Struthio camelus: one gene and its partners. The protein of the gene in region 4 purifies or fractionates together with the protein of the main gene of each other region. This does not show direct contact. Links are inferred from orthologs where the notes say so. Each region holds a gene or a part of one and is shown on either strand. Other genes may lie near its edges. The genes, in order: DTNB, UTRN, DMD and TNS2.

What was found.
Region 1: the proteins of TNS2 (region 4) and DTNB purify together in Homo sapiens (affinity purification with mass spectrometry; 3 studies listed by BioGRID and IntAct, with this or other methods). This does not show direct contact. The link is inferred for Struthio camelus from reciprocal best matches to the Homo sapiens genes TNS2 and DTNB.
Region 2: the proteins of TNS2 (region 4) and UTRN purify together in Homo sapiens (affinity purification with mass spectrometry; 4 studies listed by BioGRID and IntAct, with this or other methods). This does not show direct contact. The link is inferred for Struthio camelus from reciprocal best matches to the Homo sapiens genes TNS2 and UTRN.
Region 3: the proteins of TNS2 (region 4) and DMD purify together in Homo sapiens (affinity purification with mass spectrometry; 3 studies listed by BioGRID and IntAct, with this or other methods). This does not show direct contact. The link is inferred for Struthio camelus from reciprocal best matches to the Homo sapiens genes TNS2 and DMD.

What each region holds. Positions count from the first base shown.
Region 1 is NC_090944.1:1,498,314-1,505,468, forward strand, and holds the start of DTNB (dystrobrevin beta), read right to left. Parts: upstream 3,003-7,155; 5' UTR 2,994-3,002; coding exon 2,830-2,993; intron 2,548-2,829; exon of another isoform or gene 2,470-2,547; intron 1-2,469.
Region 2 is NC_090944.1:84,645,747-84,653,633, forward strand, and holds the start of UTRN (utrophin), read right to left. Parts: upstream 3,001-7,887; 5' UTR 2,959-3,000; coding exon 2,865-2,958; intron 1-2,864.
Region 3 is NC_090942.1:130,523,273-130,530,855, reverse strand, and holds the start of DMD (dystrophin), read right to left. Parts: upstream 3,013-7,583; 5' UTR 2,953-3,012; coding exon 2,856-2,952; intron 1-2,855. UniProt on the Homo sapiens protein: Anchors the extracellular matrix to the cytoskeleton via F-actin. Ligand for dystroglycan.
Region 4 is NC_090969.1:1,672,034-1,679,633, forward strand, and holds the start of TNS2 (tensin-2), read right to left. Parts: upstream 3,001-7,600; 5' UTR 2,977-3,000; coding exon 2,884-2,976; intron 528-2,883; exon of another isoform or gene 428-527; coding exon of another isoform or gene 422-427; intron 1-421. UniProt on the Homo sapiens protein: Tyrosine-protein phosphatase which regulates cell motility, proliferation and muscle-response to insulin. Phosphatase activity is mediated by binding to phosphatidylinositol-3,4,5-triphosphate (PtdIns(3,4,5)P3) via the SH2 domain.

The DNA of each region.
Region 1 (7,155 bases), on a different chromosome or scaffold from region 4:
GTCATTTAAATGGTGATTCTCCAGTAACACACTACATGTTTAAGCAGATACAAGTTTTTTCTACCTAATTTTATCCTTCATATTGGTGGCTAGTTGCTTCTACAGACTTGATATCTACTTTATCATTCTTCAAAACATCAATAGATCAGCAGTGCTTAGAATTAGCAATACACATAGACCAATGTGAATCTTACAGAACTGTACTACATTTTTATACTCTTTAGCCTATGCTACTGTATGCTAACTATATAACACATGCTATATGACCACCCTATGCAAAAGAAGTCGCAAGTCCATGCCCTATGGTTTTTATTGCTATAAAAAGGGCAGTAGCAACACAGATCTAAAACTGTCAATCCTTTACACTGTCAACAGAAGAAAGACCTTATATATTCACAAAACTTCAGGTTTGGACCTGAGGGTTTCCCTAACAGTAAGCCAGAAGGAGCTTGTTGGACTTCAGTTATAAAGAAGAACTGAGATAAAATGATTAAGGCGGTTTAGAAAAATAAATATGCTTGATGATGCTTAAAAATCTTAATCATTTTGTTGCAAAGTTCTAATAAGAAAATAACACTGCGCCATATCCATCTTGCCAAAGCAGTATCATGTCTCCAAAAGCAGCCCAAAGTAGATGTCGAGGGAAGAATGCAAGACTGGAACAAGCACACAGTTAAAGTTTCCTGAGAATACACTTTCAAGGTCCAAAAGTTCGCAACGCCAAGACTTCCAGAGTCAAATTGATCCTCTGGAGTTAGTAACCATCCACAGCTTTCTCCTCCATGAGCCTATCTGCCTGTCCTTCACAACTTGTAAACTTTTAATGTCCACAGCACTTAGCAGCAAGAAATTCCAGAGCATAAAACCCACAGTTCAACAAATCACCTTCTTGCATTCTTTTGAACCTGCCTTCTCCCATCAGATTTTGAAGTCACACAGTTCTTCTATGGGAAGGAAAAATGGGATGGGGGTGGGAGAACCACCACTATCCATCCTCTCCATGACATTTATGACTTTATAGATCTCCAGCATATCTTTTCCCCAGCCCTCTCTTCCATGCTGAGGGATCCCAGTTCATTTCGTCATTCCTTCTACTGAAAGCGCTTTATGCTCCAGTGAGTCCAAATCAAAACATGCATGCCAGGAAAGCTGAAAAGATAAGGAATGAGCCAAGGAAAGGGCAAACCAAGAGGTGACTAAAGCAATTCTGGTGCACATAACTAGGAAAAGCCTAGGACAGGAAAACACAACAGACTGAACAAGGAGGTGAGACAGAAGTGAAGACTAACACACCGGATTACAACTTTGCACAGGAATGACTGGAATGGTAATGAGTAGCAAGGCAAAGCACATGAATTAGTATTTGACTTGGACAAACTGAAAGATGAGAGGTAAGGATTAAAGGTTCTACAAATAGCAGAAAATACAGCTTTTCCAAAATACAGTAACTCAGAATTTAAATTTTCCTATACCAATGGAATATAAAAACAAAATGCATTTCATTTCCCTTTAGCTGTTCATCCAGAGAAATGACAGCAGTCACTCCATTAGCTCCAGTGCAACATGGAGGTGCAAACAGATATAAACATTAGAACTTTACAGATGATGACCCATGCAGAAAGCAATACGGATTCAGAAGATGAAATTAGGAAGGAGTTTTAACATGAAAATTACCTTAACTATTAGCTCAGATTTTTATAAAAACAATGATAAACACTGCATCTCAGTGCGTGTGAGTAAAGGGAAATAAATGGTCAGGACTGAAAAGGAAGCATTAAAATCCTAAGGTGTTTGACCTTTAACCTTAACACTCCTTTAAACATAGCTTTAAATTGTATACACCAAACCCAAATGTGCCAGCTAGTTTTCTGGGATCCTGACCAGAGTAAGAAAATGCCCGATTTTCATCCATTCCCGAGCCTTGACAAACCTTGACAGCACAACTACTTTCTATATGGTAGACCTGGCAACTTCCTACTTCTTTCCTTACTCTTTCTGCCACCTTCCCTTCAAGGGCTTCAAAGGTAAAATTCATCAAGAAGAATATACACATTAAGATAGTCACATTTTGGATTAATAATGTTTAATCAAAGAATCTGCTTCCTTCCTTCTCCAATACTAAAGCAACACTGAATTCTAGAATAACTACACAGAAAAGCCAGGTTCCCACAAGGGCCCACACATCAAGAAGAAGCCTCACCAGCCAGCAGAGCCAAATTCTAAAAATAATTCTAATGAATTGGTCAACCTCTAATGAGGTTGAGAGAGGTTATGCTCTAAATACTCTTAAAGCCAAATTTTTCAGAATAACAGCAAAAAATGCAGTACTCAGTCCTGCTTTCTGTGTGGTTCTTCTGCACGGCTCAGAAATCTGTAAAATTCCATTTTGCACTCTTGGAAACTTGTAATTTTTTTAATATGAACATAAGAGAGACCACAGTAGATTGCACCAGAAGTACGGTTCCTCACCATATCCTTCCGATTGTTTTGGACTCATTACTGCCTAGTTCCATTTCATGCTGGCTCCTGCCTCCACCCACTTCTGGGCTGGAAGAGACATGAACAATACTCAGTCATCTCCTTTCCAGGCTGAAGAATCGGGAGACGATATAACAGTTTTTCGTACAAAAACTGCCCTCCTACTTTTGATTATCCTTATCACCTTCCTCCATATGTTTTCTAGTTCTGTTATCTGCTTTCAGAGATGAAGGAGAAACAGAACTGTACACTATATTTGACATAAGAGGCATACCACTGCTTTACAAAGTAGCAGTAATATTGTTTTATTCTTTTTTTAATATTTCTTAATAATTCTTAATATTCTATTACCTTTTTTTGACTACAACTGAGCACTTGCTGATGTTTTCACAGGACGGTACCAGAGCATCAGGATAGTATTCCTGAGGGGCAACAGATAGCTCAGAGAACAACAGTAGATATGTAAAGTTAGGATTGCCTGTTTCTCCTCTCCGTTCCCTCACCTCCATTTGCATAACTTTACATGCATCTACACTGGCAATAAAGTAGCAGATGAAATTCAATTACTAATTGAGTCCTTCTAACATTCTTAACGGTTGGCTTGCATTTTTAATGATGGTTTCTTTCAGCAGATGTCTCACTATTCACCCTCTGTTCATTTATCATTTAAGACTATATTGCTGTTTAGTACAGTGATGGAATGGAGTTAACCTAAGAACGCTGAGACTAGAAGGAATTGATCTCTAACTCATTAGTTAAAGTTGTCTTCTGCAAAAGAACGTAATCTTGCTCTTAATGTTTTTCTGACCTCTACATTACTGAGGCAATTTTACCAGTCCCCTTCTCCTGCCACAGAATTTTCTGAAATAAAAATCTGTATTCTGAGAGCTAAACAAACCTACTAAGACGACACAAAAGTCATGCTCGAACTAAACACTGTACTTGGAACTGAAACTAAACAAATTCAGAGATCTACACAGTGCTTCAAGTGAGAGTAGCAGGTTTTTTAAACATATAGAATTGGTGCAAATATAAATAATTAAATGGTAATACTGGGATTTCATTTCTTTAGCTTTTACACCACTCAGTTCAACCCAAGGCTCAAATCTCAAGTGCTTAGAGAAACATGCCTGAACATAAAACATCGAGATTGCCACTAATCTTTTAAAGGAAGGGGAAAACCTGAAATCTGATAAAGATGCAAATTTCACACACAAGGGTGTTTCGTGATGAACATCCGTTTTTGTTTTTCCAGCAAAACGTTTGATTTGTACTTTAAATAGAAAAGCAGTACCATCAACTAGCTTCTATTCATAGTGATGAGAAAGTGAGTTTATATGGTCTGTTCTGGTTGATTTCCACGGATATTTCTTCCTCAAAAAGCCTTTTCTAATATTTAATAATCTGGAGAGGTCATTTACATTATGAATGCTCTTGATTCACTTGAGGATGAGGACTAAGAGTAGGTTCAACCTAATGCAATTTTTTCCTTAAAGGTTGTTAAAACCAACGCAGTTGAGTTTCTGCACCTGAGTAAAATTCTTCTAGCTAGAAGTCTCCCAAAGTTTCAAGGATTCTGGTAAGCATGGAGAGCTGGAAGTAAAAATATATTCCACGGGTTTTGGTCTTCATATCAGCTCTTGCACTGATAGCATGGGCTCAGCTTACATTCACCACCTAAGCCAGAAGCACAGAAAACTCTTAAAGAGTGCACAGGTGGTCTGCTCAAGTCTGACGCAGTGAAACATAGAAAACTTCTCACTGCAGTGACAGAACAGTTCTTGAATTAACAGTGAGAACCATGCTAGATCCATAAAATACAGTTTTGCTTTATGTCAGGAGGCAGTAATTTTGTTGAAGGCAAAGAAGCAAATCTGAAATCAGTAAGATGAACCCATTATTGGAGGAGCTTATCTTTTATCTGTAAGAAATGTCAGTACAGTTACTGATACTGTCTATAGCCCAGAAGGCTTCACAGTGAAGTACGTTCAAGTTCAAATGAGAAGCAAAAGCATCAGAGTTGAACTCACTGATGAAGCCAGCACCTAAAACTGAGCGGATGTAATAAGACCGCATTTCCTGATTTATCTTCAGTGATATTGAAAGTAAGCTAAAACCTGCTCCAGTTTCAATTAGTTCTGTCATAACGTATGTGTTCAGCTAACTTTTCTCTGTATTCAGTTTTCAGATAGACATTATGAGGCTCTTGAAAATTACCAACACACTGTGACAAGATAACAGTCATATATATATAAAAGTATGATAGAATATATATGTATATTTGTGTGTATACACAAATACATTATACATACACACAGACAAATGTATTTTTTAATGCAATAAGGTAAGGTAGTCCCCAAGGCCCATGGTAAATTTTAGTTCAAGATGCCTATTATTTTAATTCATAATGTTGAGACTTAAAGGGGAATTATCTATCCTGTGGTAAAATAGTCATTAAAAAACAAAACAAAAAAACTCCAAACACAATGTGATTCTTATTTGATAACCGTATGGGGGAAAAAAAAATCTTTAAATGTTATCATTTTTCACCTTGAAACACAAAAAAATTGTAAGATCGAACACCTTCCAAAACTACAGTTGAGTATGTTTAGTGCAAACCTTCAAAGAGTTTACAATCTTTCCTCATGCATCCAACTTCTCCCTCTTTCATTAGCTACCATATTACTATTTCATTGCTTCATCGAGTAATCCATATGACAGAATTCATATGAAACCTTAATTTACAAATGTCATTCCAGTAAAGGAGGATACTTCTACACAGTCACTTTCACTATCTGAAATACCTTAAATAGCACCACAAATATTAACATATTTCAGCTTTACTCCTCTTTCTTCTTTTCCTATTCATATTCCATTCTTCTGTTCTACTCTTCTCCTTTCTCTTTCTCTTCAAAAAAACTCCCCCCCCCCAATACATGCATGCCATATGTTTCCTATGCTTATACCGGGCTGAACAGAAAAAACAATACATAAAAAAAAATAAAATCTGAAGACTTCCCCTTTACTTGCTTTCACAGCTTTAGCTGCTGATGACTCTGGACTACTTATTTCTGTGGTTTTTGACTACACTTAAAACTTAAGCACAAAAATGAAGTAAGCAAGTCACTCTTAGAAGATTGTTAGGCCAATACTACAGGACCTATTTTAAAAGGTTTCGCTCTTCTTGGAGCTCATCAGCTGTAGGTAACGGCCTAAGTAAGCAGATTTTCCTCTCCAGATTAACGGGAGGGAGAAAGCGTATTTAACTATTGTCAGCCAATGTAGCCTTTGTTCTTGCACTAATGATAGCCACCATCTCAAAAGCCATGCTTTCTCTTCTTCCCTAACTACTATCATATTGACTTCCTACTACTTTATGAACTACAAAATTTACTCTCCCATTCTAGTTTCTTATCTGCAGTTTCAGGTGTTTGCTCACTTGACTTTTGATTATTGTAATTTAGACACTGCTGCCTCATCAGCTAAATAGGAGAACACAGAAATACATGCTTATTTATGAATTATTAAGTTTGAGTTTGTTCAGATTCTTGATGTTACATTGTACTCGAGGAAGTATTTGGCATCTCTTAATATGACTGCACTTGCTGTGTTAGGGAAAATTCTACTTATACTTATTTATATTCAGAAATAACTTGTAATTCAGTGAAAATTTAGAACACTAGTTTGGGGCACATCTTGCTCTTAAACATACTAGTTACAGTTAGGGAAGCTTAATAATTTCCTGTCAACCTTCAAATTAGAAGGATCTCACGTCCACAGGCTGTTTAAAGAAATGAAGCTTTCATCCCTTGTCAGTTCATTCAGTTTTTAAGATTTGAATGAACCTGCCATTGAGCTGAGGATATTGAACAAAAATTTACAGCATATTTACAGCATAACTGTACTTGCGGAAAAGGTTCTGCTATCACAGCTGGTTTAGCACTTGTAGTTATTTGTTCTGGGCTTCTAAACATGTATGGCTTGAATTTCCATTTAATTTAAATCATTTTAAATAGTTTCCATCTTATCATAAATGTTCTAGTTCTAAAGTTTACAAATTAAGTAATTTATGACATAAAGGGGCCTGTTTTTTAAATAAAGTGGGTCTAGGGTGAATAAAAATGCTGAAGTATTTTTTAACTCTTCCTTTACTATAAATTTGAACAAAGTCATAAAGATTCACTTTATTCCCTCACTTCCTTCTTTGCTCACCCCAATTATCTGATGCTGTCTTTTTTTTTTCCTCCGATTTCTTCATTCTTCATCTTCACTTTGTTCAAATTCCCATCTCCCCTTCCTCAGCAAACATTAATATATCTAATTGAGTAAAAGTAATCCTTCATTCCCCTACGCCTCTCACAGGGAAAAGAAAAAGAGGTCTAGAGGTTATATCAGGGAATAGCTAACACATTTAGACCAAAACTTAGAAAGATGATAGTGGAGAAGCCTTCACACTTATAAAAGATGCAACTAGACCAACAACATCTCTTTAAGTATACTAGAATTTCTGATAATTCTTCTAGTTTAACTAAAATTTCAAACTCTGTACCCATAACTGTTTGGAACAAACTGAAACAAAAGAAAGGATTAAGAATAATACTTTTAAAACATTACTTCTGCATACTACCACAACGTATGGTAATAATATGCGGCTTCTAATAGCACAGCTATCTGGGA
Region 2 (7,887 bases), on a different chromosome or scaffold from region 4:
AGCCGACTCAGGGCTTCACAATTGCTTACAAGAACACAAACAATATATTTATTTTTATAATAGCTTTTTGCCTCATGACAAAATAACTCCAACCTGCTTTCACTGCATATATCTTGTGGGAACAGATAAATTACTTCCCACCTGAAAGGAAGTTTTTAATTTATAGTCTAATGTTCCTGGTATTTCCAAAGCAAGGCTATCTGAGCTAGAAGGAAATGCTAATACAAGCTAAATGCACAAATTCAAAAGAGACGTTGTTAAAATATTAGTTTGCAAAATGCCTCATGTCACTATCATTATTTCCTATTGCTATAAAAAATAGCAATAATTTTAATCAATTGAGAGGGGAATTTTGTACAATAATCTGCTTGCAATACAATGTGAATTGCTTTGTTTTGCTTCTGCTGAAAATTACGTGAAAAATTAGCAAAATAAATAAGCAGTGGTATACTGCTAAGATGCCAACAAAGATTATTCGATTACCGTAGAGCGCCTAATTGGCTTCAAGAGTTGGCATTTTATAGAAACAGTGCTGTAAGGGCAGCCCCTTTCAGAAGGTTTCATATAACTGACATCTTTTTCTAGTCCCTTAAAGCACGGTAAGGAACATCCCCTCAAGCGACATGGTGACATCCATCTGAACAATCAGGCAATTAAGGGAGAAAGAAATCAAAAAAAAGAAAAGCACACACACAAATCAAGTCAAATACTGCTATGCTTGCTATGCTGGAAAGGTTTTGCCTGGAAGAACAGAGTCATTCCCACAGCATGGGAGTGCCCTCAAAAAGCAGATCATAGTCCTACAGTTTATGATAAGTTAGGAACATTATAATGCAGGGAATTTCATAGAAAAACCCTGCCACTTGCTTAAAAGCACTTCTATTGTGGCTGATATATTGCAATCTTTTTTTTCTAAACAGAGAGCTCTCAGCTCAGAGAGAATTAAACAGGACTTAAGAATTGGCCATTAAGTGCTATCTGCACATGCATATAAAGCACTTGAACAAGCAAGTAGCTGCAACTTACCTAGGAAAATTTATATATTAGCCTGGCCCCAATTTTAACAGGCACCCTTACAATAAATCATCCACACACAAACAAATATCACAGCCTTAGCTGTGTACACCCACTGACACTTACCTACTAGAAATACCTGAAGGACTGAAAAGGAAAGGCTCAGAAGGATACACCTCCTGTTATTCCACAGACAAACTTTTTAAAGGTTTCACAACCCTAATGTTCATCAATTAATTGTATGGTTGGTTAAAACACTTACTTTCCTCTCCCAAGATTAAGTTCCCCTAAAAAACAAACTTCTACAAAAGAAGAAGAAAATCCCAGAAATAGTTCTCAAAAAGAAACAACATACACCACAGATCAAATGTTTCTTCTGAACATGTGCCCAGGTTAAAAACAAAAATAGAAAATAACACACAAAAAAAAGCATACTGACATTTTCCTAGTTCCAACCTTCTAAAAAGAGAGTCAACTAAAATAAGTTGCATCTCACCAGCAGGCTGAACGCATGCTAGAGATTCTGAACAACATCAAATGGCTCTCTGACCTGTACTTTTAGTGAAAACTGCAAACTCATTGACAAAAGCAAATCCATTAATGGTAATGAGTTTTCTTGACATTTTTCTCAACTTTAACCGTTTGGATTGGCCCTTAAAGGAAAAGTTTCTGATCTTATATAAACTGGCATATCTCCAAATCCACCTCAGCGTTACCAGAAGCAAGCATAAGTAAGACTAGAGTCTCAGCGCATCATTTTGTTCTATTTAAAATTAGTAATTCTGCTTCTAAGGCTTAAGTGAATTGTTGTCTTGCTCTATAAACCTATACTCAGACTATAGCTTTTTCAAAAAAAAAAATAATAATAATAAATCTACTGATCAGTAGGTTCTGCATCAATGAAGCCCTGACACCAATTCACAAAATAATCAGTCCCTATTTGTCAATTACTGTGTCTCTAAGGCATATTCACAAGTATTCAGAATCTTCAAATCCTGTTCATCATGCCAATCTAGCTTATCTGGCCCTGGCCATCATGAAGCAGATGAATATTGAGCCCATGAAATTTCAACCAGGGTGAGTAGGAAGGGACGGAATGAAGAAAAGGAAAGAGAAACATTCCCAATTTCTTCTTCCTCAAAGCCCCACAAAAATTCTTTCCAAATTACAGGAAATATTGCTCCCAGGACATTCCAAACTTAGAACAGATACACACACACACACACACACACACACACACCCCTCCTTTCCCCAGTTTTGACTCAAAAGAAAAATCCCACCATGATCATATGCTGTACTGTAAGGGGGGCTGGAACTGTTATAAGTATGTACATCCAACAGTCTCAGGAAGTATAGTAAGCAGAACTGCAGAGAATAAATACAATTAAATATTGAAATCACTGACGTGATGTACAGTTTCAGAGAAGTAGGGACATTAAGGCTTCCAATGCTGTCATATCATGTTTCCATTGTTTAAGAACCTATTCTTAGAAAGGGAGAAAAAAATGAAGAAGTAGGCAGAATCACTGTGGAGGAAAAAAAATAATACCCTTTATGTAAAAAGGAAACCCACGACAAAAGCACTACCAAGTGCCTCTTGTAGATGTTAAACAGCCACAATTAGTACAGAGCTCGCAATGGAGGAGTGCCACAAAAAACAGACTGCAAACGGTCTCTCCTTCGGACTGTTTCTTACCACGTCTTTGACAACCTGTTGCTATTAGGTTCGGCAAACTTGAATCAAGTTAATAAAAGCAGTTTGCATCAGGTATAGAAGACAAAAACAGACGCACATGGTTAGATCCCTTTATCCATCATAGCCTTGAAAACATATTTAAACATGCACTCACCCGGTGGAGGATAACAAGTCTGTGTGACAGTATTCCAAGGCATAGCAAGCTTGTGCTTTTTCCATACAGCTTTTTTGGCTGTTTGAACATTCATGACCAAGCTTACTGTTCAGAAACAGGAAAATGAAGATGTAGAGGAAGTACACACTAATACCCACACAAGAAGTGCATGCTGGGATTTGAGGGGGAGGGAAGCATTGGTTTTCCTCAGAGAGTTTGACATATTCAGCCATAGAGTGACTGACAAACCAGTCAGGAAACAAACTTTTTACAGTTAAAGACTGTAAATAAACAACAATAGACTTAAGGCTAATTAACAGTTTCAAAAAAAAAAAAAGAAAAGAAAGAAAAATGCACAGATGACTATTTCACTTCGCTTTCTCCATCTTTATGAAAATTGAGTGCTTCTAGGCTTTCAAAGCATTCACAAGTTTCTATGTACAGAAAGTAGGAAATACATTAGCAATTTTCCTGTGCATTTAACAGTAACTCTGCAAAAAGCTTATAATATTACTGCAACACTTTTTCTACGCATTTGACAGAACATCAATCCTGGTAAGTATCCACATCTTTTACTGGTATTTTAACAAAGCACATGGAAATTGTAATGCAAGGTTTCAGCACAAAAAGCAAGATCTGCAGATAAACCTCTATGCCAATGCAACAGTTACAAACTCTGATTCGGTATGCAATTTCCATTGTGCAGTAATTGCAAACAAAACATGCCACAGTACAGTAAGGCAGAAGCTGCATAATGTAAGGGTATGTCAGTTATTTTAGAAGAAGGCCTTTAAACTTCTTTGACCATGATGACAGAAGGCAAAACCAATCCCTCCCCCTTCAATATCCTGTTGTCAACTTTAGAATCAAATTGAGATTTTTTTTAATCCTGTAGTTGTGAAGTGTATGCGATTCAAAATGATCCATTTTAGGATATTAAACTGTATAGATTTCCACTAGTCACAAAAAAAGTAATGCAAGGCAGGAATAAAAATAACATGGAAGTACAAGCATTACAACCAGAGAAGAGTTACATATAGAATTTTTTCAAAAGCAGTAAGACAGGGATGCTATTTGGTTTATCTGTGTTGGCGCACTGTGTTGTAAGGCAACTGTTCTAAATTCTGCTTTTATCTCTTTATGCATATTCAGCTGGGAAAGTTTACTGTGTCACATACCAGATAGACACTGAGGGCAAGGTTGGGGGGGGTGGGGGAGGGGGGAAGAGCTCAAGATAAGATTTTTCTTTTAACCCCTTTCGGTTAGTTGGTCTTACTTTGGATTTTTCTATTTTAACAATTCTTCATAGTTGAAGCCTGAAACATTTGCACAAAAGCGTCTTGTTTCCATGAATAAAGACAGCCATACATACACAGGGCTAAACCAGACATTTGTATCCAAACTTTTCTGTGGCCTGTACAACAAACGAGCAATAGGGAAGGGAAATAAAATATTAAAACCAGGATTCACATAAAGATATTTATGAACAAGCAACAATGATGTATTTTGCAATGGCAAATACAAATCCAAACCTTGTTGGTTCAAGCAATTTACAAGCACACAACAAAAAGATGTTGCCAATTCTAGGGAATATAGAATCAAAATTAGCAGGAGGTCAGGTACATATGCTAAACATTATAAACAGCACCTAAACTCTTTCTTCAGGTCCTAATGAGACTGATTTGCGTTCCTTAAGAGACAGCCCTTCCGCTGATCCAACGTTTCATCTCACCTACCGCACATAGCCCTTGCCTACTGAACAATAAGCCCCATACACAAACACATTAAGACTCTGCTCATCGGATACTTGCCAAGACTAAAGGTTATGTTGTTTAAGTTTCAGGAATTAATTGTTTTGGTACAACACTTTCACCCTTTCCATTCCTTAATAAAGGATGGTGCAGTCAGTAAGAGAAGTTAGAGCAACACTGAGTACCCCTCTGAGCCTTCATTACTCCTGGAATTTCAGTATTAAGGCATGGGGGGGCAGGGAGGGGATGAGGGGAAAACGTTAATTCACCAGAGAGCTTTCACAGAACCTGAACTCTTGAGTTTTTCTTACCAGCAGTAATTCGATAGCACATCTTAGTGAAACTGGTTTCATCCAACACCAAGTTTTACTTCAAAAATCCAACACTTTAATAATAATATACATTGAGAACATTTACTGCTTTATGAAAGATTTTTTTTGAACAAAATAAATTTCTTATTCAGATAGAGGCAGAATTATGGGTATAAGTTAGTTTCACATCAGAACTCATCCATAAAGAAGTTAGCTTTAGAATGGCAGAAATATTTTTTAATAGTGAGGCTTGGGCCTCTGCCATAATCTAATGTATTGGATGTGAAACCCATGTGTTAACCACAAGAACTGATAAGCAAGAGAGAAGTGGTAGCCATGGGGAAAGTAATCCTAGAAGAAGGCAAAAGAGGATTTTCAGTTTTTTAAACAAATGCAAGAGTTCAACATACCATCCATAAAACACTTCATTCATTAGGGGAAGACGGTCTCATTCCTACCACTACTGAATTCAATAGGCGATTTATTTAGCAGCTCTCTGTCTAGAGTATGTGCTTTCTTTTATTCACTCTGGTGTTGACAGCAGTAATGAAATTTTGTACATACCACTGCCTCTATTATAGCTCAACAGCAACTGGCTGCCTGCCCTAGCCTTCTTACCGTCATGTAAGATAAAAAGACCAGCCAAACAGACCAGCTGAAACTACAGTGGAAAAATAAAAGTAGAGTGAAGGCTGAGTAAAAGCCTAGTGAGCAGAAATCATATGTTTTAATATTCACCTGCATACTACAAAGCATGGAGAAGAACAAGGCTAGGGCCAACACAAAACAAAAGTCACTTCAAGTTTTCAGAAGGACTGCAGCTTAAATGGCACCTCAGTTCTTCTAGAAGAACCTGAATTATAAACTTAATACATGAAAACATCATATATCAATAGCTCAGATCATAAAATAGGGAATAGGAAAGTGAGAAAAAGTAGAGGAAAAACAGAAAAACGATTGCATCTGGTCATTTGAAGGTGAGTTCATAAACACATAAGATCACTTCTCTATCCTGGTCCCAGCAGACACGAAGTCAGCACCAGGTCCAAAACGAAATTAAGTTCACAGTTGCAAACAATAATGGGAGTGGAAGGCAACATCCTTTAATTATAAAATCCTCTGTAAACAATACAGTGTTGAATACGATTGGTTTCCATCTCTTCTTTGCTTTCTGGTCCTGGGAGCTTTCCAAGTCCCTTTAATGCCTTGACTCAGTGAAGAGGAAATTGGCTACTTTTTCACCGCCTCCCTTCTTGTAGCCTCATTCCAAGTAGGCCTGGGTTAACCCTTCTCTGAACTTCTACCCATCCAGACAAGTCTGCAAAGAAAGGCTTGTTTTACCGAGGAAGAAAACAAACAAAAAAAAATGTATAAGATTTCTTATAGGAGAAGAACAAGTAGATGTAGAGTTCCTCCATAACCTTCCTCCCCTGTTCGTCATGCTAAAGCCAAGGACTTGTTCCTTCCTAGAGAAGGAGCATGCTCTTCTGCAAGGTTTTTATACTACCTCTCTAGGCCTCCACTTTATAACACTGCTATAATGAGCTTCTAGTTAAGCATTTCTCATGCTGTGTGATATTAATAACCCATAATTTTATTCACAAGGTTTTATTTCACCACAACAACATGACAAGATTTTTTTCACTGGCCCAACAAACACGTTTTGAATTAGCAGATCAAACAATTCTGGAACTTCAGTAAGCAAATAAAAGAGCTTAGAGGACAATGTTAAAGAGAAGGATGCTGAAAAGGCAGCGACAGGAACTGAAACAGAAAGTAATGTTTCAAGTGCCTGTCTAATTTTGGTGGAAATTGGTAATTAATTCAACCCCCTACTCCCAGAAAACCCAGAGCAGCAACAACTTTGGATGGATAACAAAGAACTTCTAGCATCTCTTTCGAAACCTTCTTTCACACAGCAGGTTTGTGTCAGCATGAAACATTCTTTTGAAAAGTGAATTAACAGTATAGTAATAGTTAAGCCTTTGCTACTGTGGGGTGGAGTGGGGGGGAGAAGAACACACATTGTTTCAAGTATTACAGCTATTAGAGCTCTATGGATAACATACAAATATCATCTTAATGCTTGCACAAAAGGCTCAGCATGCAAAGAGTTTTAGTAATACTGTGCTCGACAGATTTGGTTCTATTAAAATAGCACCTATGTGGCTGTGCGGCAGCAACTAACCAACTGACTCATCTGCAAGAGAAATAACAACAGTAATCATAGAAAACAAAATATGACACCTTTCAAGAGTCTCCACAGTTTTAGTTACGCTTTTTCAAAGTTATTCTGTTATATCCAGGGATGGGGGGGAAATATTTCAAATGTAAATAATCAGAAAACTTCTGGAGCACATTAAAATCTTCCAGAAATATGTTAAGTCATGATGAATCCGGGATAGAGAACAGACAGCAGATGCATGGCTCTAACCTACCTTTTTCCTAACATTAGTGTTTTGCATGCTAGGATGTAATACTGATGAACTTTTATTTCCATGGGAGCCCTGCACCTGCTCTCGGCCACTAAGTCGCAGTGCACCCAAATTCCACGGTGCAGGAATAGGAGTAATCACTTCCTCTTTCCTTGTCAAGCCCACTTCCCGGAGGGAAGGATGGGATGGGTCTGTAAGCCATCTGAGCAGCCGTTCTTGCTGGTTTGCTGGCTGTTTACAATTTCAAATATCTAAGCCACTTTAATAGTGCATATTGTTCTGTTGCTGGAGGGACAGACTGAGGAGCCATTCTCAGTCTGACTTCAATCTGACTTCAAGTCTGACTTCATCTGGCTGCAAGCGAAACAGGAGGTGTTCCAACACCTACTGGCAGGACTCCAGAAATAACACTGTTACCACAGAACACGCTCAACAGCCACTCCTGTACAAGCTACTACAGTCAGGTATGCCACCTAAACATGCACCTCCGCTGCCACCTAAACGCTGTACTGCATGCACAAGGAAG
Region 3 (7,583 bases), on a different chromosome or scaffold from region 4:
ACGAACAGGAAACGGACATGAAAGTAAGATTACACTACCTAAGATTACAGAATCCTTATCCTATACTGAAGGTTTAATAACTAAAATAATATTTAGGAGTGCAAATAATCAGCTTCCACCTCTATCAATAAATAACTTTTTACATATTTCCTAATTAAGGCTAACCAACATGTGAGTGACAACTTCCTGTGCCCCTGCACACCTTTTAGATCACCCTTGCAAGAAATGATTTCAAAACATTGGTCCCATAGCTAACTATAAAGTGACAGATGTCAGCTATATAAATTAAATCAGGAAGACAGGAAAGAGGGATTTATATGTAAAGAAGAGAGAAAAATTTACATGCAACAGACTAAAATAAGACAGATACACGATTGGATTTCTGCAGGTATCTGCAATGAAAGCATCTGTTGGCTCCTATTGTTGCTTTTCTCCTCTTTTCATCCTTTATTTCCTTTCTTTTGCTTCCCAGCCTTCTTTGTTGAATATAGATGCTTTATTATTATTATCATCTCTGATATAAAATAATAAAAAGAAAGAAAAATGGTGAAGTCGTTTCCTTTAACGCCATCAGGTCTCCAATTTCATGACTAAGGTCCAGCTCCAAGCTTTACCTATTTTTTATTGTTATATTTTATAATAATCACTACATACACGGGCTTGCTCATTAGACAGGCCTGTATTACTGTATCTCTCTTTAGAATCAATAGCTAGCTCCACCTAGTGTCTTCTTAATTCATCAGCGAAACAAAAAGCTAAAACTAACTACTATTGACAAAAGAGAAGCAAACTATAAAATCACTTTTCAGCTGGATGGTGGCCACAGATGGCATGCAATTATGATACTGTCATCACAAGCAAAATAATATTTAAAATAACTACCGTCTGATGATAGCCAGCCAGCAGTCTTGTGACAAAGAACAACCAACAGCTTCAGAAGTATACCTCATGCAATATAAAATGGTTTTACTGCTACCCTGAAAAGGTAAATGACACTTAAGCTGCTTATATGGGTTATTCTCTCTATGGTTTTATAATCAACAAGAAGGACAAATTACCTTTGAACCTAACAGAACTTCTCTGAAATAGCATAACAATAGTTTTTATCATCAAAATCATAGAACTACTGGTGACTATACAAACCTGATAGTGATTTTGTCCATTAATAAGCACTTCTTCCCTCCTAGCAGTTATAAAATAATTTAAAATGCCTCCCAGAGGTGATCAAAGCACAAAAATGCTCAAATTGCCTAAGAGTATAGTTTTACTGATCTTTATTTTCAAACTTTTTAAAGGCTGGTTCACTGCTGTGTATCTAGAAACACCTATCTTTTTAAAAACTGTTATAGATCTAGTCAGCAACACTTAGCCTTTAATAGCCCGATTCTCTTCTGGCAAGACTACCTAGCTTACAGCCAGCAAAGTAATTTAAAACAAAGTTAGAAAGTGAACATCCAGTGTGATAGGAGATTTTTTGAATATCATTTTGGAAAAAAAAAAAAAAAAGATATACCTAAGCATGAAGAGCGTCTACAGAAAGCACATTGTATTACAAAATAATCCAATCCAATGATTGTTTCCTGGGGGCTATCAAGCAGTGTTTGAATGGTTGTTGTACCTCCAAAGGTGAAGCAAAATAAGCCTCTGCCTTACTCTCACAAAACAGCACTTTTCCTTTTCAGACCCAGAACAATCCACTTTGACACAGCTGACATCTGTTTTAAACCTGTTCAAATCACCTGTTCAGAACTGCTTAGCAGTTTCACCCTAGTGGTGATAAAATATATTTCAATATGTACAGTATACACTTGAGGATTGCTCACCACGACAGAGAGGGAGTATATATGTTGGGGGGCTGGTGGGGGGAGACAGACAGAATGAAGGAACATATATATAGATGATACCTAGACCAAAGTAAGCACCTCTAAATGATCTCAAACTTTCTTAAAACAGGCAGTCTAAAGTTATACTTATGACTCATCTGGTTTAAAGTATTCACGGCTAAAATGTAGTGGTTATATGAAAACATTACTGCAACATGGAATATGAATTTAATAAAATACATGCAAAACTGCTCTCTGATGTTTCAAAAATAAGACAATATGCCAATTCTCAATAATTTAGCAGTTGCCGTCATTTCTCATTAACAGCTTTCAAAATCCTATCTGAAACAAGCTGATACAGAGAAATTAAGAGCAGTAATCAAGCGAGAAATGATAGACCAGCTGGGTAGACATCAAGTTGGCAAAACGTGAATACAGTTCAATAGCTGAAACAGATGCCAGAGTTGTTGAAAAACCCTGCAGGAGATATTGATGTATTTTCTTTATATAATACTGAACAACCGAATAAATGTCAAGAGCTAAAAACTGATGGGGAATAAAACCTGTCAGAGTAACTATAAAGCAGAAACCTGCAGTAGTATCTTTTCATTACATCAACACATTTAATACATGCATCTTCATTTCCGTGGGATTCCTCAATATGCCAATACATCAATCAGAGCTGGCTGGTAAATCATATGGAGCCTTTGCCAGTGTTGTTTCACATCTGTTTGTTTCTATCTACCTGAGGCTTCACAGACTTAGAAAAGACTTTAGTCTTCAACCTCATCCTAACATAACGCTCTCTTTCAGGCAAGGGATTCCCTGAGCTTAGAGGCGAGCATAAGAAAAAAGTAACACAAGCAGAAATGAAATTACAAAATCCATTTTGCAAAAGGAACATTGTTTCCAGAGTTTCAAGACCTCAGCAACAAATCCTCTGCCGTCAGCCGCAGCTCATTCTAACATATGCTTTGTCATGGTCACTTTCTAATTACATTCATAATGATGCAATAGCTTTGATAAGCCTACCTTCCATGCCAGCTGCTTTTCTTGTCACTCCATCATGCCAATAAGTTGGCTGCCGTAACAAATCAAGATAGTGCAAAACAGCATCTTCTCCCTGCATCTGTCATCTTCCTGAAAGCATTCTATTACTGCCGACTGCTGGGAACCAGAAAGTCTATTTGAATTCCAGCAGCTCCCCTTTCGCATGATTCAAGTTCGGTTAGGTGGGCATGCCTAACATGATTCTCTCCATCATTTATTATGCAGCTGCTACTCCGTCGGTGTGGTAACCACTCTGACTTTATCTGATACGTCAGTCTTGCAAACCTATACCTCCGTGTGCACGCGCGAGCCCCAGAAGCATCTTGCATTTAATGAGCACTCTCGCTGCCTGAAGAGAGTGCATCTGCAAATCGGTTTCGCATCCTGCTGCTCACACCGTCCTCTAAGGCTGATGCAAGTGTTTAAAGATTTTTTTTTAATATTTTTGCATTTCGTCTTTGCAGAAAGCACTGCGCCTCATGCACACTTGGTTTATTCACACTTCAGTTAAATGCTTGCTGATTTGTGTCCAACTAAACAGCACCTTCCCATTGAAACTCTCTGCTCTAAAGCTACTTCTGAATAACAGTACTGTGCATTCAGGCTCTCAACTGTTTCATTTTAAACGTGGCTTTCAGAGCTACACCTCGACAAATTATATTTAGCTCTCTTTCATTGCAGTGAATGGCTGTCTAATGAAGAAACAGGAGATTTTTAAGCAATATATCTAGATCTACCTGTAGGTGACTTTCCCTTTTTTGTGTTTTATACATTCTAGCAGTAAGTGGATAGCTCTGTTACAGCATCTTGATATTCTTAAAGTGGCAAGAACACTGCCAGAAGCTGTTTTTCGCCAGGCTGTGGAGGACACTCCATAATGACAGAGTTCACTTAACTGCTTCTGAGTACTGGGAATTAAAGGGGTAGGACTGTTCTGTTGTCTTTCTATTTATATTTCCTGTCGGGGTGGGGGGGAGGGGGGAAGCAGGCTTGCGTCAGGGATTTCAAATGAGTGTTAATACAAATTGACAAAGAGACATCAATCATCCACCAAGTTAAATTAGCTGGGTCTCCTCCCACCGCTTCTGCCTGAAATTCAGAGTCACGGCAGTTCATCTTTAATGCATCTGCTTGCACAGAGATTGAATAAACATCCCCAACACTACACTGAAAAGTTTGAATGCTTAAGCCAGGAAAAAAAAAAGGCTTTTTAAAACTGCAACTGATTGGCCACAATACATTACTTAAGCGAAGTAGGGAGGGAGGAGGAGGACTAACACCAGAGTCTCACCTCCCCAGCCTTTACACAATGACAAAAGAAGGAGTGACGAAGGGGAAAGGGCACAGTCCCTCACAAGGAGCTTTACCTCGCTGCGTCATCCAGCTCTGGACCAGTTCTCGCATTCCTAGCGCAAAAGATTCATTTTTTCTTAAAAACAAAACAAAACAAAAAATCCTCTCTCCAATAGATGTGTTTAGCTTCTCCATGCTTTCCCCTCCAACCCTACCGCTTTGCTCCCTTCCTCCCCACAATTTCCTATTCTCAGTTAAGTACCCAAAGGCTATGAAAAAAAGCTAGAAAACATGAGCTTAGGAGAGCTATATATCAGAGAAAGTCTGGGGGGGGGGGACCCACAACCCCAAGGCAAGAGAATCTCTCACTACTTTTAAAAACAATTCAGGAAGTCTCATAGCTACCTCTCAGCCTCCCTCAACAGCGCTCTCCCCAAGGGCGGCGCAGGGCACATCCCTCTGCGCTGCTTGCAGAGCTGATCCCCGAGGTTAGCAGCAAAGCCTGGACATGCCGCTGGCCACAGGCACGGGGCAGCAGCAGGGTGCAAACCCCGACCCCACAGGCAGCGCTGGGAATGAGCTGGCACCGGTGGGTGCCGAGCGCGGGAGACCTCCCAGCTCTGCTGTTAGGGTTCGACTGCCTGCTCTAGCCTGTATCTAAATGGCACAGCTGGCACCTGAATAAGCTCACATAACGTGGTGCAGTTTGTATTTGATACCGTATTTATTCCTAGCATGCTGCCAGAAAATGTCTTTTTAGAGATTTCATGTAAATAAAGTAGAATTACTGCATCTGTTCCTCTGTCTGTAGCAGCACATATCAACAAGCTAATCCTGCATGCAAGGCAGCAGAGACAGTCCTATCGTATAGTTGCAAAGTGCACAACTATAAAGTGCCTATCTGAAAATATTGTCACTTCCTTTTTGTTCACAGTTCAAGTCATTTCTGAAGTGAAACAAACCAGGCAATAAATGAGGACTGTCTTTGAAGTCCCCATAAATTCAAAGTATATAAAAGGATATGCTTAATATTTCACACTGCATTATGATTTTTAAACCACAGAGTCAGTAGCAAGGAATTTAAATGTTATTTCACAAAAGAAAAGTTTGAGTTTGTAGCTCATATAGCCTGTAATTGTGCGGTAGGTTTTTCACAATGATAAGACAAGTAAAAACTCACTGCAGACTTGATTTCTATTTCAACGAATTTTGAGCTATGCAAGGTTAGAGATGGACATGTTCGGAAAAATACTTTGTAGGTACATAAGCCAGATAACGCTGGTAAGAGAATGGGGGTATCTGGTATAGCAGCATCATAAATATAGATTTTTAGCAGAATCTTTTCCCACTACAGAAACCAGCCCCTTAGAAGGAAGTACAAAAAGGAGGGCATGGCTAATAGGGGACAAAAAAGAAATTATGAAAAACATTTCCAGAGAGATAAGCATGGTATTACAAGGAGGATCCATCAGGGTATATTGTTTAATACTACTGCCCTCCAGCACAGCGTACAATCAACATCCTGTAGTTTAGCTGCACAGACCATTCCTCTTCAGATCAGAGCTGGGTTTGCCCCTGGAAAAAAAAGAGGAAAAAAAATTTTGTTTGGAGAAGGGAACTGTAATATACCAGTATGGGCATCTTCTCTTTACATGATCTGTATAGAAAAAGAGTTCAGAGACAAATGGAGAATTTGGGAGGAGAAACCAGTATCAGTCATTCCGTCCACATACTAATAGGCCGGATTAATAGCTGGCTTTGGTCTAGCTTTTCTGCATTTGTCTGAGAAAACAACAGTTTTGGTTCCTGCTTATTATATCTATGCAGATGCTGAATCTAGTTACAATTATAGTCACCCACCCTTATGGAATCAATTGCTTTAGAGAGAAAGCTCGACTGCAGCTTTCCATCGACATGGACTCCTCAGTACACAAATACGTATTTTTTTCTCTAATACAGCACTGTCCCCAGTTTTAAAGCAGAAATAAATGACAAGTGGAATGACAGTGACCAACTAGAATTCTACTTTTTACAGTATTGAACTCAGCAGGCTGAGAAATTCCAGTCTATTTGGCTGACAAAGGGGTGAAAAAGGAAGAAAGCCCCTCTCTTTTCCTAGTCCATCTACAACTTATGGTGCAGATATGTCTATACATTTTAATTGCTTCACTGCTACTAGAGCGACTAATTGGTTTATTCAGTGTGTGTGAGTTTGATTATGGTTGTGTGTGCACATTACAGTGATAACTATGATACCCTGTAGAATCTCTTCTTGTTGCCATTTCTCTCTTTAGTTTTCCTCTTTGGAGGTACTAATGACTCCAACTAAGCACAAGGAGGTAATGGTTCACTGAAAAATGAAGCAAGCAGACTGGCCTTGACCTTCAATTCAGCCTCACATGCTCTACATGATGCACTCTCTGATATGAAATGAATGCTGATTTTATCTGGCAAAAAAATGTTCATTTGTTGTGCTAATATGTCTCCTGGTAGCAAATCTATTTCTCTTTGCTTTTTCGCTGTTTACCGGTATTCTTACCTACTTCACCCCTCCCGTAATAAATAACTAATTTGTTCAATAAGCCACCCAAGAAAACACCTTAATGATGTATTAGATATGTTTATATTAATAAACACTTCCAGAGGGAGCATCGGAAGGTTTGTTTGTACTACACAGGCAGGAATTATTAATTATTTCCTCTTATTAATAATTCTTATTAATTATAATTCTTATAATTTTGCCTTCTATATTCATTATTTATTAATTATAGAATTCCTCACATATAATGATAAAAGTCAGCTGTTCATAAAGGATCACTTTTCCATTAGGTTTGAGCCCATAGCACTTTTATTTCTATCTCAATAGTTTAGTGAGGATGCCTTCTGACAATTATAGTACATGTGGCTTTGCTCAAGATTTTTAAAACTGCCGTAGAGAAGTGTATAAAAAATTGTGAAAATGAATGATGCACATAAAGTTGTGCCTCCAGAAACTAAAACCCCTGTGCAACCATCATCTCATCAGAGAGTCTTGCAAACCCTGGGACTCTAATGGGACTGTTGACAGGCCTGATCTCTATGTTCAGCAGGATCTCTATGTTGACCAGAGAGAGACTTTCCGGATGTGCATGCATGAGGTCAGCTAGCAGGCACCTGACAGCAATCTGAGGACCTGAAACTTACACTATTTTCAAACTTTTCACTTATCTACACCATATTCCATTCGAATATTTGGTAGAAGTCATATTCTTTGTTTTAATTAAATGCCTAATATATGAAAATTCACCTAAGTTCCAGTTTTGCTATAAACTGAAAGCTCAGAACACTTGTCTAAGAACGTGTTCTTAAACAACCTTCCAAGCGAGACTGAGATTGATCCAAGTTACGCTTAACATCATAAGAAGTTTTGCAAAGTTT
Region 4 (7,600 bases):
GAGCGGAGCGCGGCGGCACCCGGGCGGGCGGGCCGACCCCGGGGGCGGGCGGCCGGGCCAGCCCCGGTTTCCGCACACACAATAGCCGCTTCCCGTGCGCCGAGGCCGCGGTGGGGGCCGCCACGGCGGGGGGGGGGGGGGGGGTGAGGCCGCGCCGCCCCGCTCCGCTCGGCGGCCGGCTGAGGCCGCGCGCTGTCGTGACACTGATGGCGCCGCTGCCTCCGTTTCGCCGCCGGCCGCCCAGGGAGCCTTCGCTCCCCCCCTCCCCCGCCCCCACCTCCGCCCGTGCCTCAGTTTCCCCACCCATCCCCATCACTCCCCAGGCTCGGAATCCCCCCCCCCACCAAAAACACCCGTGGGAGCCGGGGGCAGCGGTGGGGCTGAGGGACCCAGGCGTCTGGCCTGGAGCCCCCGCTCATACCTTCATGGCAGCGGGACCCCCCGGTGCGGCCCGGCGGGCCGGGCGCCGAGCGGCGAGGCTGCCGCTGCTTCCTCCTCCTCCTCCTCCTTCCCCCCTTCTCCCTCCTTCCCTCCCTCCCTCCTTCCCTCCCTCCCGCTCCCGGCCCCTCCTGCCGCCGCCCCGGGGGTCACCGGCGGCCCGTTAACCCCTGCGGCCCCAGGCAGGACGGGGTTAACGGAGGGGGGGCACGGACGGGGGCGAGGGGCTGCCGCCAGCGAGGGGGACGGGGTCCCCCAGCCTGCGCCATCCAGCCTGGGCTCTATAAGTGCCATACGGCACCCTACGGCCCTGCGCCATCCAACCTGGGCTCTATAGGTGCCATATGGCACCCTACGGCCCTGCGCCATCCAGCCTGGGCTCTATAGGTGCCATATGGCACCCTACGGCCCTGCGCCATCCAACCTGGGCTCTATAGGTGCCATATGGCACCCTACAGCCCTGAGTCATCCAGCCTGGGCTCTATAGGTGCCATAGGGCTCCCTACGGCCCTGAGTCATCCAGCTTGGGCTCTATAGGTGCCATAGGGCTCCCTACAGCCCTGCACCATCCAGCCTGGGCTCTATAGGCACCATATAGCTCCCTAGGGCCCTGGGCCATATAGCACAGTGACAGACCCACATTGGCCTGTACAGCCCTGTTTCTCACCCACTTGGCCCAGTAAGCACCCGCTCCCGGCTGGCCGTACGGCGCCGGCCCTATAGCTCCGCCGTCCCTGGCAGCCTGCGCCCGGGCCGGGGCCGGGCAGTGCCGCCCGGAGCTGTGACCCTCCTGTTCCCCCGCCAAGTGCCCGTCAAAGCTGGCAGCGGACCCCGTGGAACCAGCGGGCTGAGTTTGCTGGGGCTCAGCCCGGCGCGCGGGTGGCGGGAGGACGGGCCCCGCGCCGGGGTGTCCCGGCGGGAAGAGGCTCTGCGGGGGGACGAGCCGCATGTGCGGGGACGCCTGGACTCTAGGAAGGAGGCGGCTGGGGAAGGGCTTCCCGTAAGGGCCGGCGGGCGGGCAGGCGGCGTGAAGGGGACGGTGACTGCTGGGTTCCGGTGGCCGCAGGGGAAGGGCCCGGAGCCAGGCGCAGCCGCGGCTAGGTGCCCTGCGGGGCGGCCCTGGGGGAGAGGAGGGCCAGGTGCGGAGCCCATCCCCCTGGCGTCCCGCCTCGGGGTGGCAGGGGGTGATGGGTGGGCTGAGACTCCTGGTGGGGGCAGCTGGGACCCTGGGGCTGCCCTGCAGAGTCCTCGCCCCAGGGAGGGATGGAGGGATGGGGTGCGGGATGGGGTACGGGGTCGAGGGATGGGGTACAGGACGGAGGGATGGAGTGGAGGGATGGGGTTTAGGATGCGGGGAGAGGGAATGGGATGGAGGGATGGGGTTTGGGATGCGGGGAGAGGGTATGGGATGGAGGGATGGGGTTTGGGATGCGGGGAGAGGGAATGGGATGGAGGGATGGGGTTTGGGATGTGGGGAGAGGGAATGGGATGGAGGGATGGGGTTTGGGATGCGGGGAGAGGGTATGGGATGGAGGGATGGAGTAGAGGCATGAGGTTTAGGATGTAGGGAGAGGGTATGAGATGGAGGGGTGGGGTTAGGGATAGAAGGATGGGATGGATGGAAGGTTTGGGATGGAAGGATGGGGAATGGGATGAAGGGAGATGGTTAGGGATGGAGGAAGAGGACATGGGATGGAGGGATAGGGTGGAGGGATGGGGTTTGGGATGCAGGGACAGGGTATGAGGGAGGGATGGGGTTGGGGGTGGAAGGATGGGTTTGGGATGGACAGTTGGGGTATGGGATGGAGGAACAGGATATGGGACGGAGGGCTGGGGTGGAGGGATGGGGTTTAGGATGCAGGGACAGGGTGTGGGACGGAGGCCCTGGGTTTGGGACGCAGGGCTGCGATAGCTGCACCCGCTCTCAGCTTTCCTGGGGGAATTTCCCCTTTCCCCACCATGTCCTGGGGAGGAGGTGGCCCTGGGCATGGGGCCGGGGGCTGCGGAGCTGCCCGGCACCCCCTCGCCAGGCAGCGCGAGCAGACAGAGCCGGGGAAACCGAGGCACGGAGCAGGGAAGCGAGGAGGGAGGAAGCGGGAGGACCCAGGCGTCCGGGCCTCGGCCCAGCTGCGCAGCAGCCAGCCTCGCTCCCGGCCGGCTCTTCCTGGTTCCGGCTCTCGCCGTGAGATCGGCCTTGCCGAAATCACAGCTGGGAGGTGGAGGGGGGGGGGAAGAGCTCGGCTCTTCCCCCTCCCCTCACCTCCACTGACATCCCTCCTCCGGCTGGCGGCAGGAGGGCGACCATCCCCCTGGCCTCAGGGCTGCAGCCAGCCGAACCAGGGTGGCCCGGCTCTCCGGGCCTCGTCTGCCACCCGGGGCTGCGGCTGGGGCACCCCCCCCCGCCCCGGCACCCTCGGGTCCTCCTCGCCCCGCGGGGTAACACACCTTGGGCGGCCGTCGCGTCCCCGCGCCCTGGCGCCCGGCGGGCAGAGCGCAGCAGGGCCGTGCCCAGCACCGGGCGCCTCCTCCCCGGCCCATGGGTTCCTCCCGCCGCCGCCGCCACCGCCGCCGCCGCCTCCTGCAGTTTATTATTTTTTCCCCTTCTTTTCCCTCCTTCCGAGCGCTTTTTTTTTTTTTTTTTTGCCTCCTTCTTCTCGAGGATCTTGGAAACCGCGGTAAAAACTCCACCTCCTCCGGCGGCCTCCTCCTCCTCTTCTTCCTCTGCCAGGGCACCCGGAGCGGTGCCAGCCCCGCGGTCCCCGGGGCGCAGGTGTTGGGGCCGGCAGGGGCCGCACCGCGGAGGGGGGCAGAGCCCGGGCCAACGGAGCCCGGGATTTCGGAGAGGGAGGAAGCCCGAGCGGGGATAATCGGAAACACTTTTCGGCTCGGCCGTGCTTCCGCGGCGGGAGATGCCCTGCCGGCGCCGCGGGGGGCTGCTTGCTTGCGGGTGGCCGAGTAAGGGCATCCCGGTCCCCGTCCCCTGGCTCAGGTGGCTCCTGGGTGTCCCCCCCCCACCCCGCTGCGATGGGCACCTTGACCGAAGACATCCCCAAAACGAGGATGCTGGAGGATGCACCAGGCAGGATGGGGGTTTCCCCTTCGTCGGGGGGCTAGCGACAGCCTGAGATGCAGGGATGCTCCCCGGCACCCTGACGTCCTCGAGCATCTCCGAGCAGCTGGCAAAGCCCAAGGAGGTGGCCAGCGGGACGGAGACGCGGGGCGGACGGTTTGCCAGCAAACCCCTCTCCTGGGCGGCTCGGAGCAGCGTCGTCGCCTCCCGGCGTGCCGCGGCCCGAGTTTCCTACCTGGAGAGAACCTGCTCCAGGTTTCCAACCGCGAGCTGCTTCGGCCGAGGAGCCGGTGCCTGGGCACTCGCGTGACCCCAAACCTCTCAGGGGCACCCGACGCCAACCAAAAAGGCCTTTAGAGATGCACACACCTCTCTCGCCCCGCGCCTGGGAAAAGCTGCTTCTCTGCAGCTCTGCCACCGCCAGCCCGTTCGCCCTCTCGTCCCTGCGCCTCTTTGCACCCCGGCCTCGGTTAGACTTGGCCCTCCGGGTCTGTCTTTCCAGCCTAGCTGGAAAGCCAGGGAGATGGGGAGGGGGGGAAGCAGGCAGCTCCCTGCCTGCTTCGGCACCCTCCTCCTCCTCCTCGGTGGCTCTTGCACTCATCAAACCCTCAACCCAAAGGCTGTTCACCTCTCCTGCTCCTCAAAGCCTCCTTGGAGCGGAGCCCGGAGCTCTGCTCCGCTACGGCCACCGGGCAAAACTTCCCCCGTGGCCGGAAAGCTCAGGGCCGGGAGAGGCAGCGGGTGCACCCCGTCCCGGCCCCAAAAGCCCGCGCCGGCGCTCCCCCCACCTCCGCTACCTTGCTAGCCGGGACGAGTTACCCCATGAAGAGAGAGCCCTGTTCGGGGCCCTCCCGCCCCCGGCCAGCCCGACGGCAAACGGGGCAGGCTGGAATGAGACTTGGCCCCAACATCACAGCAGCCGTCCAAGCCCCAGGAGCGAACACAGAGCCTCGATTGTACACGCCGCGAAGGCCCAGATAGTGTTGGTTTCTTCTGCAAAAACACGATCTGAAATCGGGCCCAAGGTGTGTGTGTTTTTTTGGTTTTTTTTTTTTTTTTTTTTAAAGAAACAGAGCCCACAAGGCGGGCCGTGTTCTCCTGCAAGGGCAGCAGCGCAAGGAGGGAGGCAGCGGCCCCAGGGACGGTTTCCAGCCCGGGGAGCACACAGAGAGCCCGGCTGGGGTAGGTCCTGCACCGACACCAGCTCCGGCTGCAGTTTTGCGCTCTGAGCAAGAAAGAGCAAGAAAGCGCGACTGCTGGAGTAGCTGGAGCCACCTCCATCTTCCCAGGCTTATCATCTCCAGCTTATAGATAGGAAGCCCAGACAGAGGCCGGATACAGGTACTTAATCCCATCAAGTTTTTGAGCAGGGAGCCAGGAATGAGATCAGCTGCTGGGATCGCGGCTCAGCCAAGCGGAGGCGGAGAGGTTTGCACAAGGGGGTAGGAGCTGATGCGGGGCCCGGCGCAAGCAGCCTCGAGATAAACAGCCGCAGGGCGAAGGCGCAGACAGGAGCCCGGCAGAGGCCCCCAAGCCTGGGCCTGTCCCGGCAGCACCCAGAAGGACCTTTCAGAGCACGATTAGCGCACGGAAACGCAAACAAGCGGCGGGAGCCTGCACGGGGGAGGCTCCGCGGTCGCGCCGCAGGAACTGCCGCGAGCGACTCCCTCCCGCGCTAGACACTGAGCGGCTTTATATAGTTGCAGCCAGCACAGTCAGGAACCAGCTAAACCGCAGGTTTAAACGGAGCACCCTTCGTAAATAGGATCGCATCAAATAGCTCATTTCCCTCTGCTCCCTGCGAGCGCCGACCACACTAGCAGGGTTAATTAAGCATTCGCTTAAAAGCAGGCCCGTTAACCAGGCGAGACAAGTCTCCCCGCGCACTAGAGCCCCTGGGTGCTCTGCACCCAAGCGCTGGCTTAGCACGGCCACTCCAGAGCTCAAAGTCCCAACCGGTCATAGGGACGTTGTGGAGCTCACAAGGAGACGGGGCGGTTTGGGCTCAGCGTGGGAACGTATCAGCGGAGAGAGGAGGAGACAGCAGCGAGAGGCAGCAGCTGACTGGGAGACAAGTCAACCCGCTCAGGGCTGGCGGAGAGGAGCAGATGCAGGCGCCCGGGAGGGGAGAGGACCAGTGACGCCTGTGATCTTCGCCCAGCCCAGGAGGAGCAGAAGAAACACCACGGTCTACAGGGGTATTTCTGGCAGGAGCAAGCACAGACCAGAAACGCGCCCAGAGGAGCTGCTAACGAATCTCACCGGTCTGCAGGGAGCTGCTTGCTGAAGGATGACGGGCTCGGTGCCACGGAGAGGAGATCAGAGCTGGCATTTGGGGCTCTCTGCACAGAGCATCTTACACAGTGGCTGCTGGGTTCCTCCTCCGCTTCTCTCCTGCCTGCTGCCAGAAGGCTTTGGGGATGTTTTGGATCAACATCCCTTTTGGGAGGCAGGAGGGCAGAGCCTGTCCCGCATCCAGGCCTTCGGTTGAGGATTACTTCCAGGACTGAGGTGGCACCACCAGCCCTGGAGGAGAAAAGGATGTTACTTAGCTTGCACCAAAGCTGCTCGTGATGCCAGACCTGGCTGCCAAGACCCTTCTCTGGCCCAGGTGGGTTTGCCGGAGTCGCCTTCCTTAACCAGAGCCCGGGAGCTGCTACCGGCAGAGGCCTGCGGCCGGATCCTGGCAGGATCTGCAAGGAGCAGAGGGAGGGTTAGGGACAGGCCAGGCTGGATTAAGGCCACCCTCTGGTGGCAGCAAGAAATCAGTGCTGACACAGGCAGAGACAAGGGACCTGCCACCTGCAGGGCCCAGTGAACCTTCCTTTAGGACAGGGTAAAGGGACTTAAAAGGAAGCTCTGAGGTTCTGCTTCTGGGAGAGGAGCGAGTCGAGAGCTTGGGCCCAGCCCGCTGCCAAGCGGCACCAGAGCAAGAGACTTGCAAATGATTTGGGCATTAAAGGGTATTTTAAAGATTAGTTTTATTGGAGGAAACAAACAAACAAAAAAAACCCAAAAACAAATCAAGGTGGGGGGGTTTACATAATAAAAGACATCTCCCAGGAAGTCCACTACAGATTACAAATCATTTTCATAGAAGATATTTTGTACAAATTTTACATGTTATCTTCAGAACGTGTAAAATGCAATGAGTGAACTTGTCCTGACAGCGGAGGGGTGGGAGCAGGCTGCTGTCTCCCTCCCCGGTGTGATTTAGCACTAAGTATCTCTGAGTAGAGCCCCTGCGGCACCGAGACCTACAGCAACACTGCGGTGGGAGTCCAGCTCTGCTCTTGGGGCAGAATTTGAAGCACAGTCTCTATATCCTGCCTACAGTACGTGCCGTCCCCTTGATGTCACGTTTTCTTGAACTAGCTAAAAAACTCCAAGTCACTGAAATAACTAATCAGCAGCCACTGCAGCCTCTCAGCAGCACGAAGGTGACACCAGGAAGAGATCTGCCAGTGGCTCTGGTGGGAGAGAGGCAAGGAAGCACGCAGGTCTCTCCTCCTCCCCTCTCCCCAAAAAAAGGGTGACAGTTGCCTCGTGAGCACATGCTCTGGAAGCCAGGTGAGCGTTGGCCACATCACAATGCAGGTATCTACATTGCCAACTACGTTTTAGACCCCACGTCCCCCTGTGGCCCGCACAAGCCCTGTGTCACGTGTAGACACTGACCTGGCTGTCAGCTCGGACATCTGGTGAAGGTGACAAATTCTGCTAAAACATTTCAAGTTTTGAGATCATGCCAATTCCAGGCTACTTCGCTACAAGCATTTCGGGGCTTGGGGAGCACTGCTTATGCCAAGGGGCTGCCAGCATCTGCTTGTCCAAAGAAAGGGACACTGGAAAAGCAGATGTTGGGTGAGGGGAGGTGAAATGCCAGAGCACTGTGCTACCTCCTCATACCCAGGATAAGCAAGGAGGAAGAAAGAGGGAGAAGAGAAGGTGCCCACGGGGATGCCGATACCTTTCAGGAACTGACACTTCCACCTGCTGCCACGCTGCTCCTCGCCAAGCCGGAGGAAGGGTATCGAGTCCACGCTCCAAAATACCAGCAGAGCCTCCGTCAGCTTGGTTGCCTGCACAGGA